Linked DNA regions of Elephas maximus indicus. The protein of the gene in region 2 purifies or fractionates together with the protein of the main gene of each other region. This does not show direct contact. Links are inferred from orthologs where the notes say so. Each region holds a gene or a part of one and is shown on either strand. Other genes may lie near its edges.

Region 1 (7,619 bases), on a different chromosome or scaffold from region 2:
GCCCTCCTTGTGATTTAAAGACTTTCACGCCTTTCTTGTGATTTACACAGACTAACAAAATTTTTTCCCTGTTATTTCTTTTAAATCTTTGACATTTTAAAATATTTTTAAAATTTAAAAGTGAACAATTTTTCTTTAAAAATTAGGATTATTATAAATTAAAATATTTACAATACAAGTTTTTGGGAATTGTGTTGACATTGCTAGCTTTTAATATATGTAGAGTAGCCTTCTCATTATGTTCTTGACTTTTTAATTCTTTTCCCTGTTATTTTGGAATGTAGCACTCTTATTTTAGGAGCAAGTTAGGACACTTTATCACTAGTAAATCTTGACAGTATAAAGCTATTATTACTAATATGGACCACAACTATTGTTTCGGAAATCAGTGTTCACACATCATTTGCAGTCAATTACTACGGTCAGATACAAAGATTTTATGTAGAAATTTAATTAGTTAGATGATACCATTTCATAAATAAGTTCTTAATTGTAGAACTACATGAGTCACATCTATCATTTTCTATAGCTTTTGTTTATGATAAATAACATTTTGAGTAGCTCACAGATTTTGAAAATTATTGATTAATTCAAGGTAAATGGTATTCTGGAGGAGCAAGGACACAGATTTTATCTTTCTCATGTGCGCGCGCGCACACACACACACATGCACGCACTACACACTTCATTATATTTAAGGAGAGGCTGTCAGTCAACGGTATGCTTTGTCCCTCACCTAGGAAAAGCCTAAGCTTTCTTTTTAACTACTTCACAAAGCCGGGGCACGTGCTTTTGACATTTCATTGTTGATGGTTATAATCATCATATAAGAATTTAAAACCTGAAGTGAAGTTTTAGACTTCAAATAGATTATAGAATGGGAAAATGTTTGCAGTGTGATGATAACCTATACATAATGTCCCTTGCCCACCCTGTAATTAGGTTGGTCTGGGGGTTCATGTTAAGTTCTCTATCCAGGCTCTAAGGCACTGTGGTGGCAGAAGGGGGAGTGAAATCCGCCTTTCAGAAGAAAAAAGATTCCTTGCAATGTTTAGTCAAAAGTATGACAGGCAATTGAAGATGACCTTTATCTGCTCAGTTCACTATTATCCCTTGTGTAGAAACTTGATCAAATTTCAGAAATCTTAATGTAAAAATGGTTATTAAAATGTCAGGGAAATATAAGACACCTGATAGAAAATATAAGACCATTTTAACTTACTCTCTCTGTCAATAATAATAGCTTTACTTCTAGTGCTGGAGTATTCCCTGGAACTCGTGGTGCTCCCAATATAGTTAGAAAAGTGTATTTTTTTTTCTCTTTAATAGAGTAATATTGTTAAAAATTAACTGCTTGATATGCCTGTTTTGTTATCTCTCTATATGACAATGATTTTAACCATTTTTTTCCTCTCATCTCTTGGGTAATAAGACTAAAAATTCCCATGTATAAGCTGTAATTATAAGATGTAGTACAGTCTAGTTGTATTTATGTTCTGCTCTCTTAATATAGAAGTTTTTAGATTAATGCTTAAAACCCACCATTACATTTAAAAAATAATTTGTGATTATTGTATGCATTATAACTGAGGGGGTCCACTTATGGTTATTGAGGAGGTCACTACAATAATTTTACATTTTTTGTAATATACAAAGTACACTTCCTCGCTGTTTAAAAGAAACCCTTTTTCCCCCCTTCAGATTTAATTATTTCTCTTTGACCTAAACTAAGACTGATCCTCAAGTAGTAGCCAGTTAAAATGTGTGTGAAGTAGGAGGAGTAAAGGAAACCCCAATCATTAGTTGTAAGTTACAAAGCAATGTTAATATAGGTATACACAGCAAAAGGATTTATTTTAAAGGATGTAAGAAAATTTTAGAAACTTGCATTATAGTTGGAGCATGTTGGACATCATAAAGAAAATCTTGTAAGTGCTTAGATTTTTACTATAATACCATGGCAGCAGACAGATGTTAAAATAGTTTACATATCTGTATCAACACTAACTTGAAATTAGGTATTAAGGGATTATATTATGCATGTTTTAAAATCCAGCTTGATTTAATAGGTATGGCTCTTTTAAATCAAGCAGGGTATCCTTACGGAGCTTTATTTTTCATGAGACTAAATGGTATTCATTTTGGTAGGTCCAAGAATGTGATTAAAAGAATCTTAGACGTTTCAGTGTTTGTTATGTGTTTATAACAAGTTCTACAAATGGATAATAGTGTCTAGATGTAAAAATAAAATTATATAGGAAACACAATTGCATGTAATTTTTTAAAGACTTCTCTGAACTTTTTAATATTCTAGGCAACTGTAAAGATCTTTTAAAAATGGTTATTGTATACCTATAATTTTATTTCAGTTGAATATATGCTTCAGTTTTATAAAGCTGTTTAGAAATAGACTTGTGCAGATACCTTATAAAGCAGTTTAAAATTGTAAATAGATTTCTTTTAGTCGAGCTGGTTCAAATGTTAACTGTAGGCTTATTTCTGTTTTGCATGGTAGAGCATAATGTTGGGATAATTCTGTGGTCTGTTATTTTGTAAAATTGCTTCCTTTTTGAAGTTTGCTCAAATATTGGGAGCCGCCGGAGTCAATAATTTATAATACTTTGATTAACTTAGTGTCTAGTTTTATTCCAGTGAGGGTTAAAGACAATATTAAGCTGTTTCTTTTTACTGTTTTAGCATTCTCATTTCCATAACTCTAGAAGACATTTTGATTAATGCGAAGTAACTTATTTTTGAATATTTCAAGCCATTACTCTGAGAATTAGATAAGTGGCAGATGCCAAATGCAAATATGTATAGCAATTTCATCTTTTAGTATTTTAGTGCAACAATACAGCATTATTTTGATCTTTAATATACTGTTACCTTCAAGAGCTAGCACTTTATCTAAGACATATAGCTTTATGTTTAACAGGTTCATCTCTTATAGTATTTTAAAATATGATAACACTTACCCCAAAAGAAGTTTTGCTGACATGGTGTCACAGTGCTGAAGAGGCTGTTTGATGCCATAGTCCCTCCTTTTTTTTTTCAGATAGAACTTGTACCCTCTGTTGTAAATACTGCTTGTAGCCTTAAACTGAAAACACAAACCATACCCAAATCTTGTTTTAGTTTTACAGTATGCCTGGAGTACATAGACTTTCTATTTATTTTTTTCTGTCAAGAAATTATGTCGCTGGTAACATGTGAAAAGCAGGGAAACAAAACAAAAAGAGAATGAGCAAATATTTGAAGGCCCTACTATTACTGCATAGACTGTGGTTTGAGAGCACTCACTGACTCTGTTGGTCTCGGTGGCTGGTAGTGACCTGCGGAGATTAACCATTTAAAAACCAGAGACTTCTTGCTGTCCTCCTGGAGAAAGTTTGCACCGCACTTGTGGTTCTGTGGTTGTTTGTGAGGCGAATGAAGCATTCACACAATCCAAAAAAGCAAAAGCTTTAAAACTCCTTTTTTTTGCAAGCACTATTACTGGAGAGACAGAATCATGTGGTTTGTGACCTCACAGAACTCAAAGTAAAGTGGGACTGCCTACCACTGTGGCTTTTTCCCCCTTGCTCTTGCTCTCTTTCTCTCTCTCTCTCTCTGACAAAAGGCTTGTGGTAAGGCCCTTCCTGGCATCCAGAAGGATATAGCTTTTTAATTTTTGTGACTCATGAGGATTTGGATAGAATACAAATGCTGAAGGAGCCCAAACTCCTGTAAGGTTAAGCATCTGTAGAGCAGAACTCTGTTCTTTCCTTCCTACCACCCCACCCCCCCACCCGCCCCCTTTTTTTTTTGCCTCCTCCTTTTAGTTTATTATTGTGTCTGTGGAAGAGTGAGCAAAATTTGGCTCAAGTGGCTGTGCGAAATTCTGAACAACAGTGATGATTTACAATAATTTACATCTTTGGATTGTATCACATTCTGGGGTCTGCTTCATATTTGCTGGGTGGCTGGATTCCTTCTGTTTTTCTTTTTCTTAAACTTGTGAGTCTGTAACTCATTGTAAAAAAAAAAAAAGTTTACCTTTCTTAAGGTCTGGTTGTGAACTGCTTGCTGGGCTGGACTGTAATTGGCTGTCATGAAAGTGTTAGTCTGGAGATACCTTTACAAATATTAATTTATGTCTGTATAGCTTATGGATTATCAATATTAGATGGCAACGTCTCTACAATAAAGATTGACTGTAACATCACATATACTTTTACGTCACAACTAATTTGAGGGTTTTATAAAAATGAATGGCAAGAATTGTAAGATAGTTTATTGAATGAGTCTTAGTTTTCTTTATGCTTGTAGTACAATTATTATCTTTCAAGGAAATGCATTCATTTTGTAGAATTCTTCAGTTTATTTGGCGCCATTAACTTTAACAGAGTCTTTGATAGCAAATCTTATGCATTCATAAAGTAAAATACTTACATTATGACTTAGATTGTTCAGTGTTAGACTTTATATGCTCAGGATGGAGTGGGTTAAGAGAAGCTGAATTTTTTGTTTATAATGGAAGCTTTGAAATAAATTACAAAATGCTGTGTGTAGTGAGGAATAATGCACACAGACAGAGTATGTTAGTCGTCTCGATTTGCTAATTCTGATTCAGAAGAAAATTGGAAACATCTTTGGGAAACTATCTCCTTTTTTGCCCCTTTGGACATGTATGTATAGAACTCATTTTCTTATTAGGATGATTGTATATCATAGGCAGTGAAATTTATATTTATGAATAGGGCTTCCTGTTTTCATCAATTGAGAGCGAGGGGTATTTTTCAACAAAAATTATAAAGCCGAACATACCAATTTTCTAGGCATTTTTGCGATTTATCCACGCCACACTGAACTTGCGTGTGTTCAGTTGTTAGACTTCTTCCTAGTGTGATAGTAACTAGGAGTGGCGTGAAGTCAATGACTTGGAGAATGGGCGGAGACAGTGAGTTACAAAACATTTTTGGGGGTGTACAATGGGATAATAAGGGCTGGGGAAATACTCAGGAGGGTGTTAGAGCTAAAATACCCCTGCACGTGGTGTTCTTAGCACAGTTCATTATCTGCTATTGCTGTACAAATATGTCCATAAATTTCTTTACAAAAATTTTTGATTTGTCCAAAACATGCTGGGATGACACAGGAATTATTTTAATCTCTTTTTCAAATGTCCAGAGCTTTTTCATACATTTTAATGATTTCTTTTAAGCACATATTTATCCTGCTGATTTTGTGTATAATCAGGTTTTATATCGAGAAGCAACAATTTTCATTTAACACACTTATTCACGTAAAAGGGAGAAAATAAATTATTTGGGTATTCTATTTCATAAATAAGGTGCTGGTATGATCTATATATCTAATTAGTATCTAAAGTAAATAAAAGAAGGGTTTTGTTCATAATTTATGGAAGTTTAAACTCTTCTGCACATGTAATAGCAGAGTGAGGCAATTGAAAATTTTGGGTAACTGCTGTAGTTTGATAAGTAAATGATTTTCTTCCTTTAGGATAAGGTTTTTGTTTATGCATCAGGGTTCTCTGACATTCAGACAACCCCAACTTTTTGCTGAGTATTTTCTTCCTTATTTTCTTTTTGTCTTATGTATACTTTGGTCCATGAAAACTGGAGTAATTTTTAACATCAATGTGCCTTCTAATTACTTGTTCTCTTATTGCAGGTTACCCTCCTGCACAAAATCTTTGGGTCAGAATCATCACTCAATGCAGAAGAGTTTGGTAGATATTGTTTAATAGGTCCTTTCCTTTTGGTCTTGCGTGAGGCCGATCACAGCCTGGCAGGAGAAAGATAGCGAAATTATGTGTTTTAAAGTTTGCATATTTATTATCCACACATAATTTTTTTTTCCTAAATTGAAAATATATCTTTTTTTGTGGTAGAAATTTTAAAACAACACTGATAACTGGTACGCATTTGATAATTGACAGTTTGTTTCATTCAAAATAGCTTGTTACGTGTGATGAAGAGAGATTGATTCAGAAAAGCTAATGTGCAAATAAACCTCTTGATTATAGATTTGTATCCATGTTTGTAATCACAAATGAAAACCACAGGACTTTTTTTGTTTGTTTGTTTTTTAAGACCTTCACAACTTCATCCTGCTGGAGGTATGTTAGCATCTGCTATGTTTAAGTAAGCAGCAAGTTTAGGTCTACTGTGTAAATTATGTTCTTTAATGTTACGGAAATGAGATACAGCTTACTGCAAAAAGTCAAAAAGTTAGTGTCTTGCTTCCCCATTACTTTGTATTTAATAAACGTTGTCAGAATTGGTTGAAATTTTTAAGATACCAAAACGTTTACAAATAATACATTATAAACTGCTTTAAGTGCTACGTATGTCTTCATTGTTACCATTTGAATTTTTTTCCTGAACTAACGATAGTATTTTAATACACTACTTTTCCTTTACCAATATCGTTCTTGTTTCCGTGCTTTTTGTTTATCTGTTTTTAGGATTGTGTTAGAGTTCTATTTGTCACCAGTGTCTTTTTCTTTTAATTGAAAACAATAGGAGCAGAAGCCTTGATGTGGGAATTTTATAAACTATAGGAGTCTTAATTTGGCTTAATATGTTCTCACTGATTATGAGGTTTTCGCAAAAGTTTTTTAATTTATTGTTTCAATTTGGTATGTGACAGTTTATTTTTTATTTTTATTTTTGATATATAGCTGCTCAAACTTACATAGCATTTATTGGGCCTTATATTGATGCCTTGTAAATTTTTTATATTAGTAAAATAAGTATAGTTTTGTTAGTATTTTAAATTATGATTACAAGAGATTAATTCCATTTCCTTATTTTAGTGAGGTGTATGCCTGCATACAGAACTGCACACACGTGTGTGGTGGTGGTTGTGCGTAGGGCGATGCTTTGTAGCAATTTTTATGGGAGTATTTTTTGTTTCTATTTTAATTAAATTTATAAAATCCCAAAGCATCACCATTTCCTTGATTGTTTGAACCGTTTGACTTGGTTAATTGTTAATCTCAGTTTAAATGTGAGATTATGTGGAAATTGGATGCCAAAAGAGAAAGTACTAAACTAACTTTCTGTTCTCTCTCCCCCTTCACTGTACTTCGGCCTTTTTGTTTGTTTGTTTCTCTTTTCTCTGACTTTTTTATAAAGTCTCAAAGTAGATTCTTAAAATTCTAGTAAGGGATATTGACATTAATCCTTCTAATGAATACCTAGCAGGTTAGAAGCTCATAACATTCATTGCAACTTATTGTTACGTTCTGATATATTATACCTCATTTGTTAGGCGTGTGTGGGCATTGTGTTGGCTTCTGTCTACAAAGATTTTCTTTCTTTTAATTGTTTTCACTTGGTCCTTGAATCCTTCCTTTATGTTATTTTGCTTTAGCACGTTGCTTCATGTGTCATTAACACTTTAATTATGAGATTAGTTTTTGTTTCTTTTTTCTCTGACTGTACTTTGAAGTGCAGAGTGATCCATACTTGTTTAATATAGCCATATAAGTAATTTATGTTTCTTATAATTATTGGGACAATTCATCTTCTAATGCTGTCATTTCCGCAAGTAGGAAAAAAAAAGGCGAGAACTTGCAGAAAATATGGGAAACATGCTCGTATGACAGCTGA
Region 2 (7,720 bases):
CTGCCCACGCGAGAGACTGCTCGCTGCTCCCGCGTGCAGCAAGCGCCCGCCCTCCACCCTCCTTCCCCCACCCCGGCCAAAAAAAAAAAAAAAAAAACTCCTCCTCCTCTGTCTGCCCGCCCCGGGGAGGCCCCAGGCTGAAGGGCGGGGGAGGAGGAAGGGCGGGTAAAGGGCGCGCGCGGCCGCGGGAGCGGGCACGCGCCCCAGTCTCCTCCTCCCGCCTCCCCCCCGGCCGGTTCCCCCCGCCTCCGCAACCCGGCGGGGACCCGGACGCAGCGCAGCCGCCGCCAGCCCCGGAGCGCAGCGGCCGCAACGCCCCCGGGGACCGGATCCGGATTCCGCCGCCCCCCCTCCTGGGGTCCCGCCGCTGTCCTCGCCCGCCCGGGCAGGCGAGCAGCCGGAGAGAAGCGGCCTAGCCTGCCCCCCGCCCCCGAGCCACCCACCCCGGCCAGAAGCGCTGCCACCGCCCAGCCACCCGACGCGCACGGAGGAGCCCAGCGCAGAGGCGCGACCGCGGCGGGAACCGCCGCCTCCTCCCCCGAGCCTGCGGCCCAGCCCCGCCGGCGCCCCCGCCCCGGCCTCCGGGGAGCCGAGCCAAGGAGAGGGCGGGAGGACGGCGGCCGGGAGGCGGGGGCGCAGCGCTCACCGGCCCAGCCGCCCCCTCCGGCGGCCGGCGAGAACTGCGCCTGCCGGCCCGGAGAAGCGCGGGCTTCTCCGCCCGCGGCCCGGGCTCGGCTCGGGCCTCGCTTCCTGTCCTCCCCTCCTTCTGCTCTCGGCGTCCTCCCCAGTGCCCTGGTCTGCTCTCGCCCAGTCCTCTGTCCGGAGGTCGCCCCGGGTCCCCGCCGGACGTCCCCCGCGCCCGCGGCTCGCTCCCCGGCCCCGACCCTGGCGCGCGTCCTCGGCCCGCTTCGGTTACCCGGCGCAGCGCGGCCTCCAGGCTTCCCGCTCCCGCGGCTCCCTCCCCGGCTCTGAGCAGCGGCGCCTCCCCCGCTCGGCCGGGCACAGCCGCAGCTCCCTCCCGCGGCGGCAGCGGCTCCTCCTCCGGGCGCGGCGGCGGCGCTGGGGCGGCGGCTGCTGCTGCTGTGGCGGCGGCGGCTGTGGCTGCTGCCTGCTGCTCCTCGCGGCGAAAAGCACAAAGCACAGCGCCCTCCGCCTGCAGGCAGCCCGCCCGCCGCCCGCCCGCCGCCCGCCCGCCGGCCCCGGCCTCAGCTCGCACACCCCCCGCCGCCGCCGCAGCCTCCGCCGCCGGAGCGGGGAGGAGGAGGGAGAAGGGAGGAGGAGGAGCGGGAGGGGGCGGGCGAAGCGGGGCAGCGAGCGCGTCCTTCCCCGTAGAGCGCACACCGACCCCCGGGGAGCGAGCGCCAGCCCGCCCGCCTCGCCGGCTCCGCTCCCTCCCACAGCCTGCCCGGGCGGGCTCCGCGGGGGGCAGCTGGGAGGAGGGGCGGGAGCTGGGGGGACCCGGGCGGCCGAGGCGGAGGGAAGGAAGGAGGGGAGGGGGGTGGCGGCGGCGGCGGCTACTGCTGCCGCCGGGGAGGGGGGGCCGGGCAGGGAGACACGCAGCCGCCCGGATGGCGGCGGGGCTCGGAGCCGAGGCGGGCGGGCGGGCGGGCGCCGAGAGCGACCTCGCCAGACTCGCGGGGAAACTAGCAGGCTCAGCAGGCGCGGAAGGGAGGGCGCGAGGCGCGCCGCGGTGAGAGTGCCCGGAGGGCCCCCCGGCGGCCAGGGAGGCTCGGGGTGCCCGTGGCCCCGCTCCGGAGCGCTCCCGCCAATCCTCCCAGCGCCAACCCGGGCTCCCAAGCCAGCTCTCACCCGCTTCCGTCTCCCGGAGCGGGCGATCAGCGCCCACCCTTATCCCCGGAGCGTGGCCGCCGGCTTGGGACGCACGCACGGCGATCGCGGCGCCTGGCTCCGGCACTCGCCTACCTCGCGGTCCCCACGCTGCCGAACGACACACACGAAACTTAAAAAAAGCCCACAAAACACCCTCCCCGCAAAAAAATCCCCTTTTGGTTCTTACACCCCGGAAACGGCGAGGGGGCGACGGGCTCCGGCGGAGGAACCGCTCTGGGAGCCGGTTCAATCCAGCCCGGCATGGCTTCCCCAGGCCTGCTCCGGCGCATGGAGATTGGCAGCCGCTCGCGGCAACCCTTCTCCCCCGAAATCCCGCGGCGCCAGGGCTCACTCACCGGGCGTGTGGGTGCGAGCGCCGACCGGGGGCACCTGGGGGCGCGGCGGGCCGAGGAGCGGAGCCGCAGCTCCGCTGCAGCCGACGCTGGGGCAGCGAGTCGCCAGACAAAGCCCGCGATGGCGAAGCGGAGCGACGGCTAATGGCGAGCCCCACGCGCCGCGCTCCGCCCGCCCCGCTCCGCCCGCCCGCCCGCCTCGGCGCAGCGCAGCGCCGCTCGGAGCGCTTGCCCGTCAGAGCCGCCTCGGCGCCGCCGCCTCCCGGGCCACCCCGGCCTCGCCTGGCCCCTCCGCCTCCTCGGGCGGCTCAGCCTCACCCCTTCCCTCCCACCGCGCTGGGGGCTGCACGAAAATAGAAAAAGAAAAATGCTTTTTTTTTTTTTGCTTTTTTTTTTTTTTTTTCCAGGGCGGGCGTGCGGAGACTGTTCCGGGTCTTTCTGCCCCCAGCTCGCACTCACCTGCGGAGCCGCCGGGAGGACTGGGGTGGGGGCGCGTGGGGCTGGAGCCGGCGAGCGCGGTTTGAAAGCTAGCCAAGCTCTGCAGCGCCCGACCCGGGCGTGTACGCCGCCGCCAGTCCCCGCAGAGAAATCGTCCTCCTACCCCCGCCTCCATCGCGCTGCGTTTCTCTTCCAATCAGCCGGTCGCTTGGCGGCTCCTCCATTCTCCGGCCAAGCCCGCTGCCTAGAGCGAGCTCCACTTCTCCATCTGCTCGCCCGGCTCCTCGCTCCCCTGCCGGAGCCGGCGAGGCGGCCGGCGTAGGGCCGGAGGGGGATTTGCGAGGGAACTTGCCTGCTTCCCGCTCCCATTGCTCCCTCCCCGGCTGCCTCCTGCTTCTCTCCTGCGTCTTCCCAACTCTCCCCTGTCGCCACTGGTGTGTGTCTGAGTGTGTGCGCGGTTTTTTTTTTTTTTTTTTTTTATTGCTCTTTGCTTTTGCAACCCTGAAGCCAAAGCGAGGGGTGGGGGGGAGGGAAGCGAAGAGGGGTTGTTACAAAAAAAAGAAAAGACGCTTTTCTTAGATTTGCAACACATCGAAAAACCGGGGAAACACCCCGTGTCGTCCGATTGCTTTAAAACCCGCGAGGGCCTTCCGGGTTTTAAAGCGAGCCTCTCGTTTTCAACGTCCTCCACCTCCGCCGAGCTAGGATTCGAGGAGTCCGAGCAAAAAGTTCTCCCCCTGGGTCGTATCGAGGGGTGTCAGGATGGGAGTGGGGGAATTTTTCGAGCAGTAGCAGCCACCACTCCTACCCCGGCTTCGATCGCTGGGCCGGGGTAGAGGTAGAGAGCAAAATCCTGGCCGGCTGGCGCCGAAGGGCTTCCGGGGGGAAGTCGGAGCAGGAAGACCGCGCTTCGCGCTTCTCCCCTCGGTCTTTTCCTCCCGTCCCCTGCCAGCTCCCCCTTTAATTTTTTTTCTCTCCTTTAATCTAATTTCTTCCAACTCCACCTTTGTTGTTACCGGCGTCACTCCGGGACCAGCCAATCCCCGTCACGCAATCAGCTTGTCAAAAAGGCTTGGCCAGCCCTGGGAAAGCAGGCCGCGGGCGCTGCCCCCCCCAACCCCGGCGGCTGGGAACCGCGAGGGGATCCCGGCGCCCCGGCCTCGCCGCCGGAGCCGCAGCGGGGAAGGTCCCTCGCAGGCCGCCCGCACTCCACCCTCCTGCGGGCGGGGGATGGAAGGGCCTGGGCGCCGACCACCATCCATCCCCCACTGCCGCCGGCTGTCGTTGTCGGTCTCGGCCTTCCCTGCTCCGAGGAAGGGTTATCTGGACGCAGGGAGCCAGAAAACAGTCTGAAGAACGCCTGCTTCCCACAGGCCAGCCTAGGGGTTGTGCTTTCGCTGCACGGGCAGCGCCATCGCTCCTGGCTCCCAGTTGCCAGTGGCCCTCTCCAAAGCTGCTACTGCCACATCGACTCGCCAGTTGGGTCACCAGCCCCTTTGGATTCTCCCCTGGCACACAGCCTACTCCAGCCTCACACAGGGCCTCGATGCTGCTGTAATTCCTCTTGTCTCCTGGGAGAAACGAGATCCTCTTCCCAGGGTTTCCACATCCACATCTGCCACGTTTCACAAATAGGGAGGAAAATCCTTGTCAAGATCTGGTGTGTCCAGAGCTTTTAGTGGGCAGGGCATGCAGGGAAGGCACTTTGTTCTTGTTGTTAGGCGCCATGGAGTCAATTTCAACTCATAGCGACCCCATATGACGCAGTAGAACTGCTCCATAGAGTTTTCTTGGCTGTACTCTTTAGGGAGCCCACCGTGAAGGCTTTTCTCCCGTGGAACAGCAAGGTGGGTTAGAACTGGCAAACTTTTGGTTAACAACCAAATGCTTCACCATTGCCACACCATGCTAATGAAGCTTAAGCTTCAAGGCCTCTCCCTGGCAGAGCCGGGCCAAAAGCCCTGTACTTAATTTTGTGTTTAACATTTGGTATTTTCCTGAAAGAGCGCCTACCTCAAATTGTCTAAGCTTCAGGCTCCACAGACCCAGATCTGCCCCGGAACACAGGCAGGGCATTCATTTTGTGTCTGATCAAGACACCTCTCCTGTGCTAAAGAGTGAAGCACGGACTAACTTCTGTTTAGACTGAGAAAGAGCAAAGAGTTAGTTTGAACTCAAAAGTCCCAGCTTCACCACCCTCTTAAGAATTCCAATTTCCACATCTGCAAAATTAGACTAGCCATCCTATTTACTCTGCTAAAATTTTGTAAAACTGTAAAATAGACTACAGATGTCACTTGCCACAAAGACATTGGGAAAAACTTAGACCCCCCAAAAATTCCAACTATTTCACACACGGATTTGGAGTCCAGGTGTCCTGGGTCCTGGTCCTGAACTTCTTGGCTGGGCCAAGGGACCTTTCGGTAAAGTGCTTTGGAACAAAACAGGATAGACATGAATCATAAGAATGATTATTATTGATTTTTCGTTCCTTGGGTAGCAAAAATCATGGCTGGCACTCTTCCTACTTGGAAACCCATTGGCTTGTTTTACATCCATTGCATCTCTGATGAGGTCAGGAGTTTAGGACTTGGGCTATGGGCCAAGTCTAGGACTTGGGCTATGGGCCAGAGCTGAGAGAATTTGCCCTTGGCCCTTTTTCTTTGTCCTCTTTCCCAACCCTCCAACCCCCTCTAGTTTCTGGCATAAGCCTTGAAGCAGATCCTCAGCATTCCATGACCCAGCCCAGGCTGGTGAGGAGGCATAAGCCTTAGCTACACCTTTGCCACTTGGCCCCAGCTCTTCCCTGGTTGCCAGCATCCCAGCACTAGCCCACATAAAAACCTCGTAGTGTGTTCACAAAGTCTGGTGTTTGAGTTCCTGGTGTGCGTGAATAATTTCAGTGGCACATAGATTAACGTATTTTCGGGGTTGCATGTACTAACGTGTATTGAAATGTGTTTTATTTTTATTTAAGATAGTTGTAAAGTCTTCCCCCCTCACCTGTTTTGGAACCATTGTTCCTTTATTATTCTTTTTATTTATTTTTTTCTTTTTTAGGAAGGTATAGTTTACAGACAGTAATGAGTCGGAATCAACTTAAAGGCCATGTTTTTTTGTTTTTGGTATGCATAGTATGGAGTCCCTGAGTAGTGCAAACGGTTAGTGAGCTTGGCTACTAACCAAAAAGTTGGTGGTTCGAGTCCACCCAGAGGCACCTCAGGAGAAAAGCCTTGCAATCTATTTCTAAAAAAACAGCCATTGAAAACCCTGTGGAATACAGTTCAACTCTGACACACGTGGAGATGCTATGAGTCAGAATTGACTTGAGGGCAACTGGTGGTGGTATCTATAGTATCCATGTTACATATGTATCTACCGTGTAACTGCCACCCAGGTCAAGATATTGAACACTTATAGCACCTGCAAGCTTACTCAAAGTCAATATCCCCCTCCAGATGTCACCAATATTCTGAGCTCTATCATATAGCTAAGTTTTACCCATTTTTTAATTTCATGCACGTGGAATTATACAGTGTATACTCTTTATGGAAACCCTGGTGGCGTAGTGGTTAAGTGCTATGGCTGCTAACCAAAGGGATGGCAGTTTGAATCCGCCAGGCGCTCCTTGGAAACTCTATGGGGCACTTCTATTCTGTCCTATAGGGTCGCTATGAGTCGGAATCAACTCGAAGGCACTGGGTTTGGTTATACTCCTTTACCTCTGGCCTCTTTCACCCAACATGATGTCTGAGATCGATTTACGATATTGCATGTAGCCATAGTTCGTTCCTTTTCCTTGCTATATAGTATTCCATTGCATGAATGCACCACAATCTATCCATTCTATTTCTAATGGAATTTGGGTTGCTTCCAATTGTATGGCTATAAAGCTACCTTGAACATTCCTGTGGATATCTTTTGAGGACTATATGCATTCATTCCTCTTGGATATATTTCCAGAAGTGGAATTCCTGCATCTTTTTTCCTAAATGGTTGTAACAATTTACCCTCCACCACCAGTGTATGAGAATGCCTGGTGCTCCACATCTTCACCAACACCTAATATTGTCAGTCCTTTTTATTGTAGTCACTCTAGTGGGCATGTAGTGGTACCTCATTTTGGTTTTAATTTCTCTGGTAACTAATGATGTTGAGCACCTTTTCACATATAAAATCATCTTTTTAAATATGTTTATTTGAGTTTTAAAGCTGAGTCAGTGAAAAGAACAATAGTAAGGAAAGAATAGTATTAGTGGCTCAAAGATCTGGCAAAGATAATTAAGGTGATGTGTGAATGACTTAAGTTCAGAAAACCCTATAGCTGCACTGTCTAATAGGGTAGCCACTAGCCACATGTGGCTATTTAAGTTTAAATTAATTGAAATGAAATAGAATTGAATATTCAGTTCCTCAGTCACACTGGCCACACTTCAGGTGCTCCATAGCCATATGTGGCTAGTGGTGAACCTATGGACAATATAGATATAGAATATTCCCATCGTCAAGTAAAGGGCTATGTCTTTGTTATCTAGTGCTGCTATAACAGAAAGACCCCAAGCAGATGGCTTTAACAAAGATAAATTTATTCTCTTACAGTCTAGGAGGCTAGAAGTCGGAATTTAGGGTGCCAGCTCCAGGGAAAGGCTTTCTCTGTCGGCTCTGAGGGAAGGTCGTTGTCATCAATCTTCCCTGGTCGAAAATCTCAATGCAGGGACCCTGAGTCCAAAGGATGTGATCTTCTCCTGGCTCTTGTTTCTTGCTGGTATGAGGTCCCCTGTCTCTCTGCTTCTCTTTTATATCTCAAAAGAGACTGACTTAAGAGATGACCTAATCTTGTAGACTGAGTTCTGCCTCATTAACATAAACTGCCCCTAATCCTGCCTCATTAGTTTCACAGAAGTATGTGATGGTTAAGATTGTGAGCCTTGATTCTCAGTGTTTATATGTGATCACTCCCATGATGGAATCTGTTGTGAGTAGGGGATCAGTGGAAGGGGTGTTTCCTTGGGGGTGTGGCCTGCATCAGAATATAAGCAGATATTCTGGCTTTTTGCTGGCTGTGGATCTGCAGCTGCCTCCAGTTCGTCTGACCTCTG
Region 3 (8,019 bases), about 21 Mb from region 2:
TGTGCCACCCTGAGGGAGTGCCCCAGGTGAAGCGGGGCAAGGCACAGCCAGAGCGTGCTGCCCTGACCATGTGCCGTCCACCACAGGTGAAGCGGGAGCCTGGCGAGAATGGCACCAGCCTGACGGACGAGGAGCTGGTGACCATGTCTGTGCGGGAGCTGAACCAGCACCTGCGCGGCCTCTCCAAGGAGGAGATCATCCAGCTGAAGCAGCGCCGGCGTACACTCAAGAATCGTGGCTATGCGGCCAGCTGCCGCGTGAAGCGGGTGACACAGAAGGAGGAGCTGGAGAAGCAGAAGGCGGAGCTGCAGCAGGAGGTGGAGAAGCTGGCCTCGGAGAATGCCAGCATGAAGCTAGAGCTTGACGCCCTGCGCTCCAAGTATGAGGCCCTGCAGAACTTCGCCAGGACCGTGGCCCGCAGCCCGGTGGCGCCGGCCCGGGGCCCCCTCACTGGCGGCCTGGGGCCCCTTGTCCCTGGCAAGGTGGCTGCCACCAGCGTCATCACGATAGTCAAGTCCAAGACAGATGCCCGGTCGTAGGGACGTGCGCGCCCCGGTGGGTCAGCGAGGGGCCGCCAGGCACGTGGTGAGCTCGGCAGTCCTGTCCCCCTTTCTTCCCTCTTCCTCTCTGTTCCTTCTTCTTCCTCTCAACTTCCTTCCTGCCCTACAAAGCACAACCTCCACCAGGCGGGTGCCGGGCTGAGCCCCATTGATTTTGTTGTGTCCTCGTGTGTCTTGTACGTTGGGATTGGTCAGTTTGGTGGTGATGTTGGGTCACCCCTTGCCCCCTTGTACCAAGGCTGTGTGGGCTTAGAGTCTGCCCCGTGGAGGTGGACGAGGGAGTGGGAGAGAGGTGGGACCTGTGTGTCCCTAAATAGGGGCCCTCCAGTAGGAGGCCCCTGACTGCTGCCACTGGTTGGAGGGGGGCGCTGCGTGACTCCTTCTAGACAGACCCGCGGGCAGCTTGGCCCCGCTCTGAAGAGCAGGTGTGCCCCCTGTGAGGCCCCTGCGGGCTGAGCCCAGCTGGGCCCAGCAGCCAGGACATGGTGAGGCTGTGGGCCACAGGTGCAGCGCTCGGACCTAACGTATTGCACTGAATGAGACCAAAATCACTGGTTGTGTGCGTCTGTGAAGGGTGTGTCCAGTGTATCCTCTCGGTGGGTCCTGTGTCACTGTTTACATGATCTGTTTGTGTGGTTAAATAGCCCTGAAAAGAGAGAGTAAGTTCCTTTTACGAAGTTATTAAATTATATGTTTAAAAGCTACAGAAAAAAAAAAAGCTGCAAAGTATTTATAAAACTGTCTTTTTAAAAAAAAAAAAAGAAAAAAAGGCAAGAAGAGCATTTGACCCTGTCAGTGGAAAAGGGAAGAAAGCGTAACAGAAGCTTTGGTAGTTCAAAAAAAGAAAAAAAAAGCCCTTTCTTGTAAATTTATGGACAACTCTTTGTGGCTGTTGGAGTTTAGTTTTTATAAACACAGAGTTATCAGACATTATTTATAAAACTTAGTTTAAAAAAAGACAGAAAAAAGAAAAAAAAAAAAAGCCAAACCGCGAACCCCCCCAGGCGCGTCCTAACGTCCCCTTTGATATCTCTTTTGCAATTGTACCGAAAGTGACTTAGGCCTTGCCCTATCTGCTTCCGTCTCTTGCCGGTGCCGTGGTTTTGTTGTGCCTGGTGAGGTCTTGTGTGGCCGTAACGTGCTGGTGCTTCTGGTGACCTTTGACCTGTGGGTGTCACTTCTCGTATCTGTTCCCCCGTGTTTGTTTTTGGGACTTGGTTGTGATCTTGCACCTGCTGGCTTGCCGGGCCAGGGTGCTGGGCAGCACGGCCTCTCCTTCTTCCCACGCTACCCTGTACCCCTTGGTGGCCTGGCCTTGCTCTAGGTGTATGTTGGATGCAGACACTGGGCTCTGCTCCCCACCCCTGTTGACCCTCAGCTTCCTGCGTGTGCGTGTGTGTGAGAGTGCGTTTGTGTCTCTAGGACTTGGGCTGGGCCAGTGACAGGGCAGGTGGAACTGGGGGCCTCTCAGTGGCCTCCCGTACTGCCTCCATGTCCACTGCCTCTGGCCTTGGGCGGTGGCCTGGCAGGGACCCAGGAGTCACTGTGGGTGCCCATGGGGTGTGGCCCAGCTGCCCCATCTGTCTTCCTCATTGTTTCTTATCAGCAGCACAGGTCTGGCCTCAGCTTTGCTCCTGGGCTTCCCTCGTGACCTCTGTCAGCTGCTGGGCCAACACGGGGGGCTATGACCCCACCGCCCACTTGTCCCAGAAGTGTTTCAGGGCTGGGGTGGTGCTTCCCCAGGAGCAGGGCTTCTTCGTATCCCTGCCTCGCCCCAAGGGCCTGGGGAGCGGGTCTCTATCAGTGCCAGCAAGGGCTATGACCTCAACGCTGGGCCCTTCCCCCCTCCCCCTGTGCAGGCCTACAGCTCTCAGCTCCAGGCCCTTCTTCCACCTCCCTTTGGGATCTTTGTCTTCCAGGGACCAGCTGCTTGGCTTTCAGAGGCACTTCCGCTCAAGCCAGGGCTGCTGCCTCCCCATGCTGGCCACTGGACGGGCAGATGACCCTCCAGCCTTGGTACGGGAAGCTCCTGGTAGGGTGTGTTGGGTCGGCTCACAGCATGGCCTGAGATGCTGCAGCTCTGTTTCTGGCCACGGGGGCTTGGCTTCTCCCAGGGTTGCTGGCCCGTATCTCCAGAGCGCTAGAGAATACAGGTGAGGGTTGCTGAGGAGAGTAAGAAGCGAGGCGGGCACCCGGGACAGCCTTGAGGCAGTGGTGTCTTGTCAGCGAGTGTGGCCACACACGTGCTTGCGGTCGTGGCAGGCACGTGCCATACATGGTGTAGCCTCTCTGGGGCTCTGCTCAGATGCTCCTGGCTGGCCCACAAACAGCTCTGTGACTCCAAGTCCCTCCATGGTTTAAGCCCTCCCTGGCGTCGGGCTTTGTCCCTCTCGGGTCCAGGCTGCATTGCCAGGGTGGTGATGTAGCAGTGAGTTCCAGCTGTATCACCAGGAGCCTGAAAGAGAGGGTGTGATGTGGTGGAGCGAGGAGGACAGACCTTCCATTCCCTTGCTCTGTTCTCACTTTTGTCATTGGCGTGGGAGCTTGTCGTCTATCTCTAAGTGCCTCTGCAGGCCACATACGGCCAGCTGGGAGAGCAGAGGCAGGAAGTGGGTGAGGCGAGGAAGGGCTTGATGGTGAGCATTGTGGCAGCAGGTACCGGTCCTTAACTCAGCCTGTGGAAGAAGCTGCTCTGGAGTGAGTGACATCGTGAGAATGCCGTGCTTGCATTCATGGTGTTTGGACTTGAAGCCACTGTTCTGGGTCTGCGGGAGCCTTCCCGTCCTGCCAAGCCAGCCCTAAGGGGCTGCTCTGCCCCTCTGCCCCTCTGCCCTTTTCCCTTGGTTTCTTGGCACTAGATCCGTGTCCACGTGTAACTGTTTTGTGTCTGTCTAATCCTTTGTTGATTGAGTTTTCTACCGTGAACGTGTTGTGTTCTGTTTTTTCCTTTCTCTCCTGAACTTTCCTGACACAGCGAGTCGAGGCTTGGGCCGAGGCCAAGTCTTCAAACTTGTCCGCTACGTAAACCAAGATGCGCATCCCTTTCTGACCCTGAACTTGCCCCAGCTGCACCCTTATCCCAACATGGACACTCGGGTTTCTGAAAACAACCCTGAAGTAACAGGCCAGCTCTGCTCGAAGTGTCTGACCTCACAGGGCCTCCCCATCCCCAGCTGCTGCTCTTTGGTGGTTCTGTGTGGCACTGGTGTATTTGCTGGGCACCTGCCCTCCCTGGAGGCTGGAGGCTTTTCTGCTCTGGGTCCGTGCCTCAGGTCTGCCCACTTGTCAGCATCCTCTGGTCTCAGTGCCTGGCCATAGCACTGACTAGCCACAGCCTGCCCTGGGATACCTGGTCAGGCCCTGTCTTGCCTTGCTGCCTGCCTCTCTGGAGTGGCCCCTTGGCTGTACCTCCCTCTCGACAGCTCCCTGTCTGCAGCTGGAAAGCCGAGCCACAGCCTGCAGGGCTGTTTCCGCTCTGGGATCTTGTGAGTTATTTTTTTAGGCTGTGGTTTGGTGAAAGGAACCAACACATTAACGATTTTTCCCCCCAGAAGCCACTGAATAATTCTTTGTGTTGCTTGTTTTCTTCCTGCTGGCTATCAGTGGCTTTGGAGCAGCCGAGGAGTGTGGAGGACATGGTGGGTGCCATGCGGAGGTGGGAGTGTGCCCGCGGGACTGCCTATAGCCTGTTCTGCTATGTAGTATGTGTCCTGGGCAGGTGGGGCACCTGAGTGCCAATGGCACCAATTTCTACCCACCCCTAGGAGTAGCAGCCTCTACGCACTGGGTGTCTTGTGGGTCGGAGCCCGGTGGACTATGACATCTCCCAGTTCTGGGTGACGCCAGTTGGGTTTTGGCCCCCTTAGCCACCTCCTGCCCTTCCCCGCCCCCTCCACATCCCTCACCCTGCTTAGTCCCGAAGCCTTTAACCAAACGGGAGTGGGTACAGAAAGCTCCTCCTGGCAACTTAGGGCAACAGGACAAGGGCTGCCTGGTGTCCGGCTCTGCCGCCCTTGTGGCGCTGAGAGGGGTCGGAGGGAGTTGGTGAGACCCTGCCCAGTGCTGTGGCCGGGACGGTGGGGGTTAGAGCGGGCTGGGCTGGCCGGGCGTGGGGCCGCCGCTCGGGGCAGCGGCCGGCCTGCGGCCGCCACCCGCCCTGCGCAGTATTTATTGCTAAATTATTGTCCAGGAGGGGCGGCGCTGGGCCGGGCCCCCCGGGTATTTATTGCTGTACATAGTGTATGTTTGTGATATATAAGGTTTTCTTTATTTTGTATATGATCAATAAACACCTTTTAAAGAGACTGGCAGGTGCTTCTTTGCGGCTGGGCTGGAAGGTGCGGGCTGATGGGGCGGGGCCGGAAGGGGCGGGGCCTGACGCGCGCATGCGCCTGGCACGAGGCTGCCGGCGAGGCGGAAGCGGAAGCGCAGGTGCCGGGGAGCGATGGCAGCCGGCGGTCTGAGCCGCTCCGAGCGCAAGGCGGCGGAGCGAGTCCGGAGGCTGCGGGAGGAGCAGCAGCGGGAGCGCCTCCGCCAGGTAGGCCACCGCCCGCGCCCCGCCCGGGCCAGGCCCCACGCGACCCTGACCGCTCGCCCACGCGTCCGCAGGTGTCCCGCATCCTGAGGAAGGCGGTCACTGAGCGCAGCGCAGAGGAAGGTCGGCTGCTGGCTGAGAGCGAGGACCTAGTGACAGAGTTGCAGGGCCGGAGCCGGCGGCGCGAGGGCCTGAAGCGGCGCCAGGAGGAGGCGAGTCCCGCGGGCCGGACGGGCGCGGCGCTCCGAGGGCGTGCTTCTCGCTCTGCGCTGGCCGGTCCGGGCCACTCGGTTGGCCCGATGCCCCGTCGCCTCTCCTGAGGTGACAGCAAACGTGGGTGCCGGCGTGGATCGGAGGAATGGGAGCGCTTCGTAGTCCAGAGCGTGCTTCGTGTCAGGCCTCGTTCCCAGCGTGTCTCAGACGGCATTCCTGCCGTAGCTGTCATCTGCCTGGGATTGCTTGGCCCGGCTTTTTCAGCTCCTGGGGTGGGGGGCAAGAGCGAAGGATAGGGCCATGACCAGTCTCGGCGTCTTCGCAGGTATGCGATGACCCGGAAGAGCTGCGGAGGAAAGTCCAGGAGCTGGCCAGCGCCGTCAGGAACTCCAAATACTTGGTTGTCTACACAGGCGCAGGGATCAGCACGGTAGGGACGGGTGAACAGCTGCGCCCCGGGTCACCCCACGCCCTCCGGACTCTTCCCCTAACCCGTTGCCGTGGAGTCGATTCTGACTCATAGGACTTTTCCTGGCCCCAGAGAAATTGAGAGCGCGCGCTCCATGGGTCACGTGGCTGCCGGTCCCAGGGGTGGCCATGGGGCGCCCTCTTCTGGGTGACGCACCCCAGAACAGAGTTCAGCACTGTAGACTGGGGTGAAAAACAAAATAGAACAGCTGTAAAGTGTTTTCCTTTCTTAGAGAAATACAAACGGCACTGCCTAACAGGGAGCATAAAACTCCCAACACTATAAAGATGCTGGAACTCTGTTACACCTGGTTAAAGACAAGAAAAGCAGAGGAGAAAAAACAGGACATAACAGCTTAGTGCTTGCAGGTACTTCCTCATTTGCGGTGAAGGAGGTTAACCCGTTGGCCCACGGTCATGTAGGCAGAGCTACCCCTGCAGCTGACTCCTGAACCTGGCTTCTTCGTGGTTTCTACACGTTGGAGGAAAATAGAAAGTGAGACTGTAAGGATGCGAATCCTGATTTTTTGAGGAGCTGTGGGACATGACTAGCTTTGGAAGTGTGACTGGCACATACTCTGTCTAATACGATGGTTCTGTGTTGAGCGTCAGGCACGTGTCACCCCACAGAGGTGAACACCAACTGATTCCTGTTTTTTGAGAAACCTGTTGTTAATGTGACAAGGCGTGTAAACAAACAGTGGTAACGTGGAGTTGAATGTGTGAGGGGGATGTGACAAATCCAGGCTCTGCACTCGGTGGGGTCAGGGAGTGGGGAAACTCAACTCAGGTTGGCTTTTAGGGAGAGGTGGCCTTGAACTGGGGTAGTGAGAATGTGGAAGGTTCTCGGTGATCTAACCTGTGAGCACCTGGAGCCCAGGCAGTCAGGCTTCCCCCCTCCCTACCAGTCAAATGTACAATTCAGTCATGTGGTTACTGAAAGACAGGACTGTGGCCTTTTGGAGAGCTATCAGTGGTCCTAAAAGCCAGGTGCTGCTCATTAGTGTGATGGGAAGGCAGGTCCTTCAGCCCGGAGAGCACAGGCACCTGGGTTTTGGCAGCCTTCTTTGTCCTTTTCTCTCAGATAGGCTCGTTTTCCTGTACCGGAAACTTGGGAAACAAACTAGCATTTCTTCTCATCTGGAGAGATTGTCCTGGTTTTGTTAAAGTAGAACAGGAGCCTCTTAGAGATAAAAGGATCAGATGTGTAAGAATTTGGACAGAAGAGCCTTCCCACTTAGGGGTCCCCCACTTGCTGGTGTTTCCTGAGTATTGGGCTCAGCCTGGGGACACTCAGAGGAGCTGAGCAGTGCTTCCCACCATGTGGAGGGCAGACATGGCAATACAGCAGAGGTTTGTGGGTGGTGCTAAGGACTCCCAGAGTGGGTGGCCTCCTCCAGCCTTGAAGGATAAGCTGGGTGCAGTGGGGAAGGGGGAGTCTGGGAAGGCAGGAGCCACGGGTGGTACACCCGTCAGGCAGGTCAGGCGCTGGGTCTGTAGGGGAACAGGCAGTCATGGGCTGGCCCTGAATGAGGCAGGAGAGACGCCTGCTTCGTGTTCTTGGAAATTCAGTTGGTCCCGACAGTGAGACCCTTTTACCAGACTTGTTTTCTTTCTGGACATGCAGGCGGCTTCCATTCCAGATTATCGGGGCCCCAATGGAGTGTGGACGCTGTTGCAGAAAGGGAGAAGTATCAGGTAAGCAGACCTCAGCCACCCACTCCACCCCGGGGCCACTGAGCAAGAGAGGAGGGCAGGGCAGAGCAGCCTGACCCTGCAGCACCCTCACCTCACTCTTCCCCTGACCCGGCAGTGCCACTGACCTGAGCGAGGCCGACCCGACCCTCACGCACATGAGCATTGCCCGCCTGCATGAGCAGAAGCTGGTAAGCACATGGGTGGGCAGCACACAGGAGCCTGGGGAGGAGCAAGGCCAGTTTCGGCCAAGGCTCCTCTGCTCTAATGGCCTCAGTCCCAGAGCTGCTATGGCCCCTGTCCTCATGCTCACTTGTGTTACCCTCGCAAACCTCAGACACAGCCCTAGTCACAGGAGGCGGTTCACAACGAGTGGGGGAGGGTGGTTTCACCTGGGTCTGGAGGGATCTGAGACAGTGACCCAAGAGTGTGCACTTTGGGCAGAGCGACCCCCGCCGTCTGCCTCACTGGAGCCCCGAGTTCCTTCCCAGCTAAGAGGGGCGCTGCTATCGCTTACCTCCCATTCGTGCTTGAGCCGTTAGGGGGCAT

The links.
Region 1: the proteins of UBTF (region 2) and RUNX2 purify together in Homo sapiens (co-immunoprecipitation; 3 studies listed by BioGRID and IntAct, with this or other methods). This does not show direct contact. The link is inferred for Elephas maximus indicus from reciprocal best matches to the Homo sapiens genes UBTF and RUNX2.
Region 3: the proteins of UBTF (region 2) and SIRT7 purify together in Homo sapiens (affinity purification with western blotting; 3 studies listed by BioGRID, with this or other methods). This does not show direct contact. The link is inferred for Elephas maximus indicus from reciprocal best matches to the Homo sapiens genes UBTF and SIRT7.

What each region holds. Positions count from the first base shown.
Region 1 is NC_064819.1:109,904,268-109,911,886, reverse strand, and holds the start of RUNX2 (runt-related transcription factor 2), read right to left. Parts: upstream 3,049-7,619; 5' UTR 3,034-3,048; coding exon 2,976-3,033; intron 1-2,975. UniProt on the Homo sapiens protein: Transcription factor involved in osteoblastic differentiation and skeletal morphogenesis. Essential for the maturation of osteoblasts and both intramembranous and endochondral ossification.
Region 2 is NC_064837.1:50,744,056-50,751,775, forward strand, and holds the start of UBTF (nucleolar transcription factor 1), read right to left. Parts: upstream 3,052-7,720; 5' UTR 2,643-3,051; intron 2,277-2,642; exon of another isoform or gene 2,187-2,276; intron 1,900-2,186; exon of another isoform or gene 1,810-1,899; intron 1,003-1,809; exon of another isoform or gene 917-1,002; intron 530-916; exon of another isoform or gene 444-529; intron 1-443. UniProt on the Homo sapiens protein: Recognizes the ribosomal RNA gene promoter and activates transcription mediated by RNA polymerase I (Pol I) through cooperative interactions with the transcription factor SL1/TIF-IB complex.
Region 3 is NC_064837.1:71,705,556-71,713,574, reverse strand, and holds the start of SIRT7 (NAD-dependent protein deacetylase sirtuin-7), read left to right. Parts: upstream 1-4,974; 5' UTR 4,975-5,004; coding exon 5,005-5,097; intron 5,098-5,168; coding exon 5,169-5,306; intron 5,307-5,632; coding exon 5,633-5,737; intron 5,738-7,402; coding exon 7,403-7,473; intron 7,474-7,588; coding exon 7,589-7,661; intron 7,662-8,019. Other genes in the region: transcription factor MafG, read left to right, coding at 87-539. UniProt on the Homo sapiens protein: NAD-dependent protein-lysine deacylase that can act both as a deacetylase or deacylase (desuccinylase, depropionylase, deglutarylase and dedecanoylase), depending on the context. Specifically mediates deacetylation of histone H3 at 'Lys-18' (H3K18Ac).